Daphnia pulex: one gene and its partner. The protein of the gene in region 1 purifies or fractionates together with the protein of each later gene. This does not show direct contact. Links are inferred from orthologs where the notes say so. Each region holds a gene or a part of one and is shown on either strand. Other genes may lie near its edges.

What was found.
Region 2: the proteins of T-complex protein 1 subunit gamma-like (region 1) and DDB1- and CUL4-associated factor 7 purify together in Homo sapiens (affinity purification with mass spectrometry; 4 studies listed by BioGRID and IntAct, counting the BioPlex papers as one, with this or other methods). This does not show direct contact. The link is inferred for Daphnia pulex from reciprocal best matches to the Homo sapiens genes CCT3 and DCAF7.

What each region holds. Positions count from the first base shown.
Region 1 is NC_060017.1:2,679,687-2,687,066, forward strand, and holds T-complex protein 1 subunit gamma-like, read right to left. Parts: upstream 5,073-7,380; 5' UTR 4,943-5,072; coding exon 4,918-4,942; intron 4,849-4,917; coding exon 4,787-4,848; intron 4,535-4,786; coding exon 4,358-4,534; intron 4,296-4,357; coding exon 4,141-4,295; intron 4,084-4,140; coding exon 3,897-4,083; intron 3,838-3,896; coding exon 3,688-3,837; intron 3,628-3,687; coding exon 3,469-3,627; intron 3,400-3,468; coding exon 3,256-3,399; intron 3,192-3,255; coding exon 2,994-3,191; intron 2,935-2,993; coding exon 2,665-2,934; intron 2,594-2,664; coding exon 2,477-2,593; 3' UTR 2,265-2,476; downstream 1-2,264. Other genes in the region: flocculation protein FLO11-like, read right to left, coding at 1-1,053, 1,292-1,424, 1,484-1,594, 1,695-1,706; opsin, ultraviolet-sensitive-like, read left to right, coding at 5,912-5,955, 6,021-6,080, 6,148-6,267, 6,334-6,549, 6,612-6,742, 6,807-7,140, 7,202-7,303, 7,368-7,380. UniProt on the Homo sapiens protein: Component of the chaperonin-containing T-complex (TRiC), a molecular chaperone complex that assists the folding of actin, tubulin and other proteins upon ATP hydrolysis.
Region 2 is NC_060025.1:4,761,861-4,769,040, forward strand, and holds DDB1- and CUL4-associated factor 7, read left to right. Parts: upstream 1-3,303; 5' UTR 3,304-3,503; coding exon 3,504-3,610; intron 3,611-3,697; coding exon 3,698-3,839; intron 3,840-3,901; coding exon 3,902-4,000; intron 4,001-4,062; coding exon 4,063-4,185; intron 4,186-4,250; coding exon 4,251-4,532; intron 4,533-4,600; coding exon 4,601-4,718; intron 4,719-4,828; coding exon 4,829-5,004; 3' UTR 5,005-5,231; downstream 5,232-7,180. Other genes in the region: uncharacterized protein LOC124202359, read right to left, coding at 5,329-5,526, 5,615-5,751, 5,895-6,016, 6,492-7,171. UniProt on the Homo sapiens protein: Involved in craniofacial development. Acts upstream of the EDN1 pathway and is required for formation of the upper jaw equivalent, the palatoquadrate. The activity required for EDN1 pathway function differs between the first and second arches.

The sequences.
Region 1 (7,380 bases):
CTGCTAGAATAAACTTGTTAACCAAAGACTGGACACAGAAGGCATCTTTTTTAGTATGTTTTTCGGCAGGTTTCACAGTGGCGGCTCTAGGAGGATTGCTAGATTTACTAGGACGACGACTGCGAGAACGGCTATCGGTGGCTTTTACTTTCTTTGCGGATGATGGTGGTCGGGGCGTTGAAGGGAGTGCGAGGGAGTTAATAGTAAAGACAGTAGTTCCTTCTTCATTCACGGCTACAGCTACTTGAGGCTGAGAAACAAGCGATTGTGGAGTAGGTGTTGAGGAAGATGTGCTTTCGTCTGAACTAGTTAAACCAGATCTGGCGCGGGGTTTTCTCACTCGAGGTGTTTGAGGTTTCTTCGGAATTACTGACGATTTCTTTTTCGGAATAACTGACGATTTCTTTTTCGGAAGTTCAATGTTTTTCCATGCAGCCACGGCTGGTGAGGTTGAATCCAACGATTGAGAGTTAGATTCGTCTAAATCACTCCCTTCATTCACTCGTTTTGTTGATTGACGAACTGGGGTTGCAGCTTCTTGAAGTTGCTGACTCAGCAGATCCGTAACCGTAGCACTTTGCACACCGACTAATTCTGTCACCGTGTAAGTTGTTTCCTCGTTGGCAGGAGAGTTGATGGTGGGGGTTGGTGCCTCGCTCACTTCATCAAAGAATGAGCACAGTGACTCAATGTAGGAATCATTGTTATCTGATGGTTGGCTTCCCACAGCTTCCAAAATATCTGATAAAGTAGGGCTTGGGCTTGGGGTTAGTCCAGAATTAGGAGTAGGACATGCTGACTTGTCCATTACCATCTCCACTTCTCTGTCATTGACGCTGAATACGGAAGACGCAGGACTGGACTGAGATGAAGAAATTGGAGTTATCCAATCAAAAACATTATTTTGCTTTGGAGCCATGGTTGCTTTAGGTTGGTAAACTGAATATTGACTCGATGGCCAGGTAAAGGGCTTGCTGCTTATTGATGGTGGTGGAGTAGCTACATTGCTTGAGAGACTGCTTATAGTACTTCCATGTGACGCCCAAGAGGAAACTGGAAAAAATGTATAATTCCAATAATTATTTTTGGCAATTCTAAAAGTAACATATTAATCAAAAAGGTTAGGTAAACAACAAAGCAACCAGAGATTATTTTAGTATTTTTTAAATTTACATTCCACAACAATGTTGGTGAAAATTTGTCTTTAAATTAAAAAATTACAAAGAAATTCTTATTCACTTCCTAATTCTACAAATGTTGAAGTAGTTGAAAAAATTCTTTTATTACTAACCAGAGCAACTTGACGTCATAGATTCTGTATCCATGCTTCTTGTTTTGAATTTAGAGTTTGCAGCTGGTATGGGTGCTGCAACATGTGACACTACTAACGGGCAGACATCCTGTGAAAACAGTGGAAAGGGACACTGGAAAACATAAATAATACATTAGTACATATAGCTAACAAATGAAATAAAGACTTTACTGAGGTATTTTCACAGAAAACAGCAGCTTGTTCCAGATTTATCTGGTACAGCTTCACTGATGAACGAATTCCGCCGGCAGCACACGAGGGGCACACAGCCGGTAAGCTAACCTGCATTGGTAGATAAAGAGGTAATGATTTCGTAAAAGATTTGGATTGGCATTTCAATAGAACGTTAAGGAAAAAATTGATTAATTCAAACAAATCTTACGTTTGTCGCCATCAGAAATTCTAAATTCTGCTTCTACAGGCTGATCATTAGTTGTGACCGGTCGTCGCATTAGACTTCAGACGACAAATTCGTAAAGTAACGTTTTTGTTTGGTTCAGCAAAACGTTGCCATACTGGCAATATTCAACCTTTAAAAAAAATGTCTTTCGTTTTTAATTCGTAAATCGCAAGTTTGTAACCTTTCAGCTTTTATTTCATATTATCTAAAAAATTTTTATCTACAAATATTTCATTTTTAATTAACTAAAGAGTGGTGATTGCCGATTCTACGAAAGCTACCTTACTTGGTGTCTTCCTTGGTGGTTCGCGAATGTTCTATCGAAAACGACGTGCACGCCTTGCTGCGCGCGTTTCCCTCTAGAACAACGTGCTTTGAAATCTGCTTTTAATCCACTACTACGCTATCTTTTAACTTACACTGCAAAATATTCGGACACGGGACATCTTTTCAGGCCATATTGCATGTTTCCTTGTTCAACATATACGGTCTAACAAATCTAGCATTCAATTCACTTCAAAGCTAATTGTTTATTTCGTATACGAAATCTACTATGAGCAAAAATGGTGTATTTTGTTCACGAAGATGATGCAAGCGTGACATACTATGCCAACAGAAGATCAATTAATTACTCAGGAAGTTGACAAGAACGAAATGTAGCCAAACGTTAGTCGCATAGCAGAAGCGTGAATGATTGAAGCCATTGTATTATTATTATCGTTCGCCATGAGAGTTCCACAAGATCACGGGATCATGTTGGCTTCTTATTCACGCATGGCCTCTTGATCAGCTGCGGCGCCGGGGGCAGGAGCTGAACTATCAGCACCCTTCTTTTTGGATCCCGAAACGATGTCGTCGATACGCAAAAGCAGAATTGCAGTCTAAAACAAACAAAGAATTGGTAAATATTTGTGTACAATAGTAATAGTGTGCAAGTCTGAAACTAACTAACCTCAACAGCTGTCTTAAGGACTTGAAGTTTAACGGCAAGAGGATCCCAAATTCCTAGATCCTTCATATCAGCCAGTTCACCGGTTTCGCCATTGATACCCCAAGTTGATTCGCCAGTAGCATGTTTGGCTCGCAGAGCAGTCAGAGTTCGAATGACGGTAGCACCACAGTTTTGTGCCAGAGTTCTAGGAATCACTTCGAGGGCTTGAGCAATTGCTCGGTAAGGCGCCTGAGTTACACCAGTCAAACTCTTTGCTTTCTCAGCCAGAGCCTATACAGTAAAATCAATTGAATAAACACATACTATTCTGAAATAAAGAATTGACATACGTATGCCAAAGCCATCTCAGAAGCACCGCCTCCAGGAACAAGTTTAGGTTCCAAAAGAACATTTCGGGTAACGTTCATGGCGTCTTGCAAATTTCGCTCCACTTCATTCAGAACGTCTTTTGAAGCTCCACGTAGAAGAATCGTGCAAGCTTTGGGATCTTCGCACTCGACCACAAAGCAGAAGTACTCATCGCCAATCTATTTATAAAGAAAACGTATGTCAAATAAGTGTCGATAAGTCACTTTTAAATTTTAGGTTTACCTTTTTAATTTCAAAAAGACCAGCTTTTGTGCCGATGTCTTCCTCGCGAATTTCATCAGTACGGTTAACAATTGTAGCTCCAGAGGCACGAGCAATACGGTTGTTGTCCGATTTCCTCACGCGACGGATAGCAGTGATACCGGCCTTCATTGAAAATTTAAATCCAATTTTGAAGTACTATCAACCAAAAAGGATCAGAGAAAACAAAATTACCTTGACCAGGTAATGCTGAGCCAAATCTGATACACCCTTTTCAGTGAAAACGACATCAGGCTTTACTCGGATGATATCTTCGCATGTTTTTTGGACATACTCTTCCTCAAGTTCTAGAATACGAGTGAAATCTTCTTCTTTCATGATCTCGATGTTTGTCTAACAAATAATGTTTCAAAATAATGTTTTCAAGTTAAGACATCTTGGTTTAGTCAATACCTGACTTTCTCCTTTCTTGTATTCCAAGTTGCAATCTAGCAATAATATGCGTGGTTTAACGATATGACGACGCATTTTTGGGTGAGTAACATCCTTGTTCAACATAACTCCCCGCAAAACGCAAGAATCTTCCATGGTACCTCCAGGAACCTAAATATTTAAAAAAATTAGTTTTGAAGATGCGTCGACACAAATAGTTTGTAACTGACCTTTTCAACTTTAGCGTATCGCTTGATATCGATTTCCCGACGTCCATTCTCGTCAACTACGACTGTGCTCACGGCATCGAGAGCAATTTGACAAGCTTGCTCAGACCAGCGATTAATAAATTTAGTTCCTAGGCATGATTTGATGATGGACAACAACTGAGACCGATCATTGACATCCACAGGCGTGCTAAATAAAAAATTGTTCAATAAAATAGCCTAATATTTACAACCAGTGATATCATACCTGATTTGATCCCTTAGAACTGTAACAGCATCTTCCAAGGCTTGACGGTAGGCAGAAATGATTAAAGTAGGATGCATTTGTTGCTGCAAGAAGGGTTCTGAAACAGCAAGAACTTCTCCAGCTAGAATAATAACTGATGTAGTACCATCTCCAACCTAAGAATAAAACATTTTAACATCTAGAAAAATACTGCCTTTCAGGTAGGTTAATTAGGTACCTCCTCATCCTGAGTGCGAGAGATCTCAATCATAGACTTAGCAGCTGGGTGCTGGACAGTGATTTCTCTAAGAATGGCATTACCATCATTAGTTAAAACAATACCACCCATAGGATCCATCAGCATTTTCAGCATTGCTCGTGGTCCAAGACATGTTCGAATGACATCTGCCACAGTCTAAGAAAATCAATTTAAGTATAACACTGTTAAACAAGATTTGGTTGAAGTAAAAATGTCGTAACAAAGGAAACTGACAGGAAAAATGCATTGAATATGTCAAAATAGTTTCCCTTCTCATACCAACAGTATCTCTACTTGCAAACTAAAAACTTTACGTCAAAATGTGAAAAAGTTTAAAGAACATAATGAATATCGACAATTAAATCTTAAAACAAATTTTTGACAAGTTCCATGCGGTAATGGGCCTACCTTGCCGGCTGTGATATTATCTATCTGAACCTTCTTTCCACTCTCCCTCTTGGTATTCTGGCCTTTAACAAAGTAAGTACAATACGTTATTTAACTTCAATTTTAGACTATTTCTAAATTACAGTACTTACTAAGAACAATAATCGGTCCGGACATTTCGATTTCGTGGGCTACTGTAAAAAGTCGAAGTCACGTTGAGACCTGCTCTTGCTTTAACCATTCCCTTTCCACAACGTTGCCAAATACCCAAATAAGGCAACCCAGTCACGCCCCTCACGTCCGCGCTCCGCGGCTCCGATCTATTTTTTTTAAGTAACTTTAATTTTGTTTTAATCAAGATCAAATTAAAGAATTTTGCTGTAAATATCGCGTCAACAACAAAAAATCAATGATATTAAAAATACAAGGTTAAAAATACAGCAATTTTGTGTACAATGGTATGAAAATAATGAAATCTTGAATGAAATGTCAAATGACGAAGACGTAGGTAGGGTTATTTTGCCGAAATTAGATTAATATATTAATAATAGTTGCGATTGATTGCGGAAGTAACTTCCGTGTACGATACTTTATCCGATCCCGATGTACTGTAAATCCCATGCACTTTCGAATGCTGACGCGCGATAGTGGCATATACCTCTGCTACGGTGATCCAAATGAGGGCTGAAGTCTTCTAATATACAATACACAGCGCTGTCTGCATCTGTTTAATCTTATTTATAAATCTTTGTGAGTCTTGTGGTAAAATCACAGAATTGGGTTTTCGATACAATTGATAAGCCAATTACGTGGATTTTGATTTCAATGCATCTACGAATACACATTTACAGCTTCTGTTTAATACACAGTCGTCGAGGCGAATACCCTTTGATAACTGGATTAAACATGAAGTTGTGGTATAAAAGCAACGTCCTGATGTCCAAAGATTCGCAATTGACTGAAGTCTGTTCAGCTACTGAAAAAGAACCAAGGTATTCAGAGTTATCATAATTTATTCGATCAGTTTAATGTATTTAAATATTACAAATTTTCAGTGAGGAGCGGCTAACCAGCTGGCCTCTGCAAAGTTATACTTCTTTATAAACTTTCTTAGCACTTCTCGCAATTTTCTCAAATTTCCTAGCAATGGCCCAAAACAGCACATTTGTCTCCACCTACGACGCGTTTCGGTTCGTATAGCAAATAAAAAAGTGCAATAGCAGCTAGAGTAAACACCATGTAAATTGATTGACAGTTCGGAAAGGCGTATGTTGGGATGGAATACTCCAGAAGACTACATGTCTTACGTTCACCCGTAATAAACACATTTAATAGATTTTTGTGATTAGAAAGTAATGTGAGCGAAACATATTCCATTTTAGCTATTGGAAGACTTTCGAGGCCCCAAACCCGTTCCTTCTCTACATGATTGGATTTCTCTACACCATTTTTATGTTTTGTTGCGTCGCTGGAAATGGAGTCGTCATCTGGATCTTTACGAAGTGATTAATCAATTCATTTAATAACTTTGAAAATTATTTTAAAAGAATTTTCGTTTCCTTATAAAGTTGTAAGAGTTTGCGGACTCCTTCAAATATGCTGGTCGTCAATCTTGCGATTTTGGATATGCTCATGATGTTGAAATCTCCCGTTATGATCATTAACTCCTACAATGAAGGACCTATCTGGGGAAAATTAGGCTGCGACGTTTTCGGTCTTATGGGAAGTTATAATGGAATTGGTTCAGCAGTGAACAACGCCGCTATTGCTTACGATCGCCACCGGTAAGCTTTTTAAAAAAGTGTTAAATCGTTAGTCAAAAAAATTTATTCTGTTGTTTTCACAGTACTATCTCTCGTCCATTGGATGGCAAATTATCTCGCAAGCAAGTTACTTTGATGATTGTGGCCATCTGGGCTTGGGCCACACCTTTTTCGGTGATGCCTTTCTTGGGCATTTGGGGCAGATATGTACCTGGTCAGTTAGTACTGAATCAAAGAATGCACGGAATTTGTTTCTTAATATTTGATTACATTTGAAGAGGGTTTCCTGACCACTTGCACCTTCGACTACATGACGGAGGACGCTTCGACCAGGTTCTTCGTTGGCTCCATTTTCGTCTACTCCTACGTCATCCCGCTGGCAATGCTCATTTTCTACTATTCCAAAATTGTGAGATCCGTTGGTGACCACGAGAAGACTCTCCGTGACCAGGCCAAAAAGATGAACGTTACTTCCCTGCGCAGCAACCGCGATCAAAATGAAAAATCAGCTGAGGTTCGCATTGCTAAAGTTGCAATTGCTCTCGCCACCTTGTTCGTTTTCGCTTGGACTCCTTATGCCTTTGTGGCTCTCACAGCCGCTTTTGGAAATAGGTGAGATAATACTTTCAACAAATTTGTTCTCAAATAAATCACCATCGTCATCTTTTCACAGGTCCGTCCTGACACCACTTCTGAGCACGGTGCCTGCCTGTTGTTGTAAATTGGTATCCTGCATCAACCCATGGATCTATGCAATCAACCATCCCCGTTATCGGTAACACATCTTATTCATAGTGAAATGACAGTCATTCTTACCACATTTTTCTTCATCCTTTCAGCATGGAACTGCAG
Region 2 (7,180 bases), on another chromosome or scaffold:
TGATGTTAAGGATCATCAAAAGAAATTTCTACCCTTGGCCACAATCTTGATGCTCTTTACGTCCATCGACCTTTTCTTTTCTGGGGTGACCGGGTCCATGATAAGAGAAAGTATCTTTTATGCTCGTCGGACCTAAGTTTCCCTTTTTTTTCTTCCCCCCCAAATAAAAATGAATGTCTTTTTTTCTCGTCTCCTTTTTTTCTTTTCTTTTTCTCTCTTTGTTCTTTTCTTTAATGTTCTGTTTTAATTGTCATTTTCCTTGTCTGATAATAAACAAGAATTAATCTCTCTTTGTTCTTTTCTTTAATGTTCTGTTTTAATTGTCATTTTCCTTGTCTGATAATAAACAAGAATTAAACATTTACTATTCAATCATTACAAGGTTAGGATTAGTGAAGCGTATGTACTTGTCAATTAAAGCTACTGAAATGCTGGCCAACACAACACAGGCACAGACAAATCAGTGGCCTTCACTTTTAGTACTTTGTGAACAAATTGAGATGATTAAGATTTGGAATGAGAAGACAATGTCAATAGCTACGGAAGAAGCCAATAATCTTTAACAGATAGGCTTCAGATAATTCAAAATTTCTAACCTGATTTTAGATAGAAGCAATTGTCTCATCTTTGAGTTCAATGTTGGTCTGCTGATTCTTGTCCATATGGACCTTGATCGCTAGGTTGCCAAGTGAGTTCTTTGTTGGAGATTGAGGCATTGAGCAGGCCCTCGGGGGATTTTGTCTGGGATTCCCAAATGCTTTTACTTATTTAATGAAAAAGTATTATAAAAATGAATTGATTAATGATTTTTATTTTAAATTAAAAAAAGATGTGATTAATAAACATATTCAAATCAAAACTATGTGTTATAAATTTATTTAACACACCTGTGCATTGTTTGGGAAAAACTACCTTGTGCATAAGTGCATTATTGTCTGATCATTGTCTGTGTGTGTAGTCTGCTAATCCTGTTTGAAATTGACTTGACTGGCTTGACTGTTCATGTTTTCGTGCATGTTAGTAGATTTCTGTATGTTTCAAATATTCTAAACTATGTAAAGTTTTTGATGATTAGACGTATAATTCAATCTTTAGTTTCTAGCCTCAATAAATTTTCTATTCATGAGGAAATGTCGTTTTACGCAGTTGCCAGGGGAAGGAGAGTGGGCATCTATCCGAGTTTGTATATTAAGTTATCACGTAATAAGAAATTTTCAGTAAAAAGGGAAAACATTTTTCAGGGCTGAATGTCAATCTCAAATACAATGCTACCCTGGTGCACAGTCCTTCCCCACAAGCTGCAAGCTGAAGGTTTCATCCAACAATGTAACTCAAGCATGACACTCAAGAAATACTGCCAGTTAAACCCAGGGCATCCTAACTTCCAAAGATTTCTGATGGTTTGAAGAAATTTGAAATCTCATTTTCTGTAAGTGGAAGTCAATCTCCTACTGCAAAAGCATTTACTTCTGGATCTCAGTTAAAGTATTATTATGCTGTAGCCATTGGTAAAATGTTGGCATTTATTCTGCTTGGTAGGAAAATGATTAAAATCATTGGGATTTGAAAAATAATTTATACAACTCTTTTTTTTTCAAATTACAGGGCAGAGTACAAGGCGCAGTTAGATGGTTGTGGATTTACCAGATATAGAAAGTTTTAAATGCACAGAAAGAAGCTGAACAGTTCATTCATGGAAATCAAATTCAAAAGGGAGTCAGAGCCTCCAATTCTCAATATAGAAAATCTCTATTTTCAATTGAGTAATATTCCTGCCATTCCTAGTATTAAAGGCATTTGTGTTCAAAATTTATCGTCAGTTTCTTTTGGATACCATACTATCCAACAAGATGAAGATGGCTTCATATACCCATCGCTCAATCAATCTACAAATCCATACTTTGATTTTCCTACGGCGCTATCTCCAAGAAGAATTATTTTTACCGCCAAATCATTTGATTTACCAGTGGCTTCATAATCTATACCAATGTTGCTATCACACATGATTTCCATCGCGAATACAAATTGTTAATCCAAACCAACGATTTTGAAAAAACTTTTCCTGTGTTTACTTTCCACATTGCCATAGCAACATGTCCTTTAACAATAGCGCCAAACCGTTTTCCGTGTAAAAGAAGGAAATGTCTTGCGGCTGTGCGCGTCATTCCGATCATTCATTAACAATAATTATTTTTTTCCTGGAGCTAGCATTTGCTACATTGCAGACGTTTTTTAAAATATAAATTGATTAAATGAAAAGACGAGCGATTGGGGTCGTTACTGTAGTAGTAGGCCTTGTCGAGTGGCAAAATAATTCAACTGCGATTTCCATACATTTAATCCCACTAGATTGAGGGAGTTTTTTTTTTATGTATTATACTATGAGAAGTCTCATGTATGTGTACTAAATAATATGATACATTGGGACTGAGAGACAAGTTTACACATTTTCTTTCACATTTGCAACACCAACTCCAACCATAAGGCCAACAACTGTAAATCCTTGTGCTGCAATCCTGAGCCTCATCATTTTTTGTGACATTTGGGGTCTCCTAATGAATCAATTCAAACAATTACAGATTTAAAAAAAATATATTATGGTCAATAACCACACAACAATCAATTTGTAAAGTTATACCCATGACGAAAGGACCACAGGCCATATGTCAATGCAGCTGCAGTTGCTAGACACCCAATAGGAACAAAAGGATTTTCAGAAAATTTTCTGTTGAATTTTTCTTTGAATGTCTCCTGGTTCTTCAAACTTTCTGATCCAATTTCCTCTCTTAACTGAATCCAGTTTAATTCTTCAGCATTTAAAGACTCAATTTCATTGTTTATTTTGCTTGATGTTTCCATTTCTCTGTACACAATCAAAGAGGAATTGTTAATAGTGTAATATAAATTGTTGAAGCAATGTACACATAACTGATCATGAATGCCAAAATATTTTAGATTTCTAAATATTTTGATAATTCACCAATTCGGTCATGAGAAGTCGATTGTGTTTATTAAATTAAAAAGGAATAATAACATACGGAGTATGATGTTTCGTTCGTTCTATAGTATCGCAATTACTTTAAATCTAAAAGTATTAAGACCGAGACTGAAAAGTTGTCAAGAAATTCCGAGTTATTACATAACAATATTCACAAATTGTAGTTGCGACGTTACTACTTGAAGGTTGAACGGTTGAACGTTGAAGCACTGCAGCGATCGGTAGCAGACAATATTTAGCGGTGGTGGCGCTCTTCTTCAAAATATCGTATCTATTTTGCCTGTATTTGATTTTGACTCTGACTTTCGTTTCAGACTTCTACCGCTTGGTGTACAGCTTCAGTGTGAGAAAATTTAATGGTTGTCTTGTCTGGCCTAAGTTAATAGATAGGTTTATTTGTTTGCGTGGGTCCACTGTCATTCCGGTTAAAATTGCCAACATAAGAAATTCTAACACTTCTGCATATTTGATCACGATTCCCGGGAATTGTGTCGTTTTCTAAAAAATGGCGGGGCTAAATGTTGCTCCCAAACGAAAGGAAATTTACAAGTACGAAGCACCATGGACTCTTTACAGTATGAATTGGTCAGTGCGTCCAGATAAGAGATTCAGGTGAGGGAGGAAGTTTAAAATTATGTATTTTATGTTTAAGAAATGTAATATTCAACTTGACTAACCTCAAATTCCTTTACAAATTAGATTGGCTATTGGAAGTTTTGTAGAAGAATACAACAACAAAGTTCAAGTAATTTCATTAGATGAAGATTCAGCAGAATTCAGTGCCAAAAGTACTTTTGATCATCCATATCCTACTACAAAAATTATGTGGATTCCTGATGCGGTATGGAACTATCCTGTTTCAAATATGGTTAAAGAAATGTTAATAATTAAGTGTGTTATCAGAAAGGTGTTTTTCCTGATTTACTGGCTACAAGTGGGGACTATCTACGCATATGGAAAGCAGGAGAACCAGACACAAGATTAGAATGCCTCCTTAACAATGTAATTTTTACATGAATTATTATTATTTACAAGAAATTTAATTCATTGAAAACAATTTCTAGAACAAAAACTCAGACTTCTGTGCTCCTCTTACAAGTTTTGATTGGAATGAAGTTGAACCTAACCTTATTGGAACATCTAGTATTGACACCACATGTACCATATGGGGTTTGGAAACTGGACAGGTAAAGCAATATCTTTAAAACTTCTTTAAATCTTATTATTCTATAACAAACTATTTATCTTAAAGGTTGTTGGTCGAGTTGGTGGCCCTGGTGTAGCAGGACACGTAAAAACTCAGTTAATCGCACATGATAAAGAGGTCTATGATATCGCATTCAGCCGGGCAGGAGGCGGGCGAGATATGTTTGCATCTGTTGGCGCTGATGGCTCCGTGAGAATGTTTGACCTTAGACACCTAGAACATTCAACAATCATATATGAAGATCCTCAGCATCGTCCTCTGTTAAGACTAGCATGGAATAGACAGGACCCTTCTTATTTAGCAACGATATCCATGGATGCTTGTGAAGTATTTTCGGTTTTTCACCTCATTTCAAATAGAGAACACGTTACAAATTTCTTTGTTACAAATGTTAGGTGGTAATACTCGATGTAAGAGTGCCGTGTACTCCCGTCGCTCGTTTGAGTAATCACAGGGCATGTGTAAATGGCATCGCTTGGGCCCCACATTCTTCCTGTCATATTTGCACAGCTGGTAAATATTTTTTATTTGTAACTAGAATTGTGCAAGTACCGTGTGCACGATGTATGCTGCCAATTGCTGTATATAATTGATCCGATTTGATCTGGTTTGTAATAATTTAGGTGATGACCATCAAGCCTTGATATGGGATATCCAGCAAATGCCGCGAGCCATTGAAGATCCCATACTTGCTTACACAGCGGCTGAAGGTGAAATCAACCAAATCCAGTGGGGAGCAACACAACCTGATTGGATTGCCATTTGCTACAATCGATCCCTTGAAATTTTACGAGTTTAATGCTTTAATACCTATATATATCAAAACTGAGTATGACTAATGTCTGAAAACTTCTCATCAGGTTATCTTAGATCGTGTTTTTTTAATAATTCGTATCCTCTCGTGAATCGGATCGTTGATTTGTAATTAAAATAAGGAAAATATCATAAGAATGTGACATTTGAGATTTTGAATTTGTCTGTACTACTAAGCAAAAACTTGGAAAAGAATGACTGAATTTGAATCAACAACATTGTTTTATTAGCTTTCTATCACAGCACTCGGATTCTGTATAAGATCAGCAGGTATTAACATCATATATATTTTTATGTTTCTCTTTAAAATTCAATTTGAGACTGCTAAGTGGTTGGTTTGATTACTTGAAATGCTTTTGTAAGCTGTTGGATTCGAAAGTTGCATAGTTTCTCGTAGCCGCTCGTTAAGTAGTTGGTATCTCTCGCGAATCTGCATTTCGTGATTTTTCTCTTCACGTTCCAAAACCTTAAGGAAACTTGATAGTTCAGCCACTGTAAATTCCTCCCACTGAAATATAGAAAGAAGAAAAAATGGGTGCGCTTATAGTTTAGCGATGGAATATGTCGAAAATTAGAGCCCCGCAATGGTATTTTACCGGAATGTCTCCATTTTGGCTTTCTTGAAGGATTAGAGTTTTGGCACAGCTAGAGGCATCGAGATTGGTATCATCGGCCTGCCAATGTTGGGCAAGTAGAAGCGGACAATCGAAATCATTCAAGCGACGAAGTCGAGCTAAATAATAGCAAATACAACATGATTTGGTATTCTGGAATTTAGTACGATCGAGTCCGACTCGTTTGAGAGAGGGAAGGTAAAAAGTATGACGAAAGAAGGATTCAAACAGATAACGAACGAACGCAAGTATGACTACGTACCTCGACTGGTTTTTCCCGGTTGCCAGCTTTTTTCATAGATGGCCAGTTTTTTTGGTTCCCAACCTGAAAGATGAGGATGGGCTTCTACGATTTGTTGTACCAGTTCGATGCACGCAATATCTCTGAAACGGGGATAAGGAGTTACAAAAGCATGTGTAAGAACGTTGACTCTGTGGGCACCCTCGTTTTAAAATTCAAACTCCCCAAGGAAATCAATACAAAAAGGACCCTGAAAAACTAGAGGCTATGACGAGAATATTGATGGAGTCTAGTTCGATCCACCTACAAATGGTAAAGAAATCGATGCAGGAGTACAAAGAATTCGCGGAAATAGGAAGAAAATTTCAACCTATTCGAGGCAGGTGCCAATTGACTAGCGTAACGAAGTAGTTCACCTCAAGAAATCGTTCTCGATTTGACCAGATTCTGTAAAGCCTCGAGAACGTGACGCTCGTCTGAGCCGACGATGTGATGATTTAGATTTACAGTGTAGCTCCCCCTCTAGCCATTTTCTAGAGACCGGTTGTATCCGGTTTGATGAAAACCGGACATTGGTTACGACTTACGAATGGTTATTTGAGACGAACGCACTTTTACCTCGGAAATGAAGTCTGGGGGCCGGGGCTTCCGTCTTGAAATACAAGAGCATACATTTGTCGCTCACGAACCACCGCGTTGTCAGAAACACCCGCAGCGATGTCATAGGTCGGACGAGGGATAGGACGGAAATCAATAAATGAGGGTAACTTGTTTTTTTGTCGGCAAAAGAAGTGCAAGTAAATTCGAATCGTTTCTGACGACGACTCGGTAGCAGCTAGAAATGAATCTTCCTCGGTTGGACGCATTTCTCCGAGGGACGAAGTTCCGGAATCGTTCAGGACGGATTGGTTATTATTAACGGCCTTGCTTTCAAATGACTGCTGGCTGGAGGAGGCGTCGCTCATCAAGTCGCAAGAATCGGCTTCAAACATCCAACGAAGAGTCACTTCATAAAGGCTTGAAAACCTCCAATCATCGTTTGAATCTTCGGGGACCACCAGATGACCGCCCGCCGTTGTGATGGCGACCGATGCAGTTGAGGGCTCAGCTATTCTTTTGATCGCAGACGGTGAACTGGAAGCAGAGGCATAGCCGCTGCTACGACGTGATCTCTGACCATTGATTCCAGTCACAATTCGAGTTTCGTCGATGTGCAGGATATCCACCATTTTGCCCACAGCGCAGTCCAGTAGAACATCTTCTTCGATGACCGTTTCTACTGGAATGCTAGCGACTCCCTTGATTTT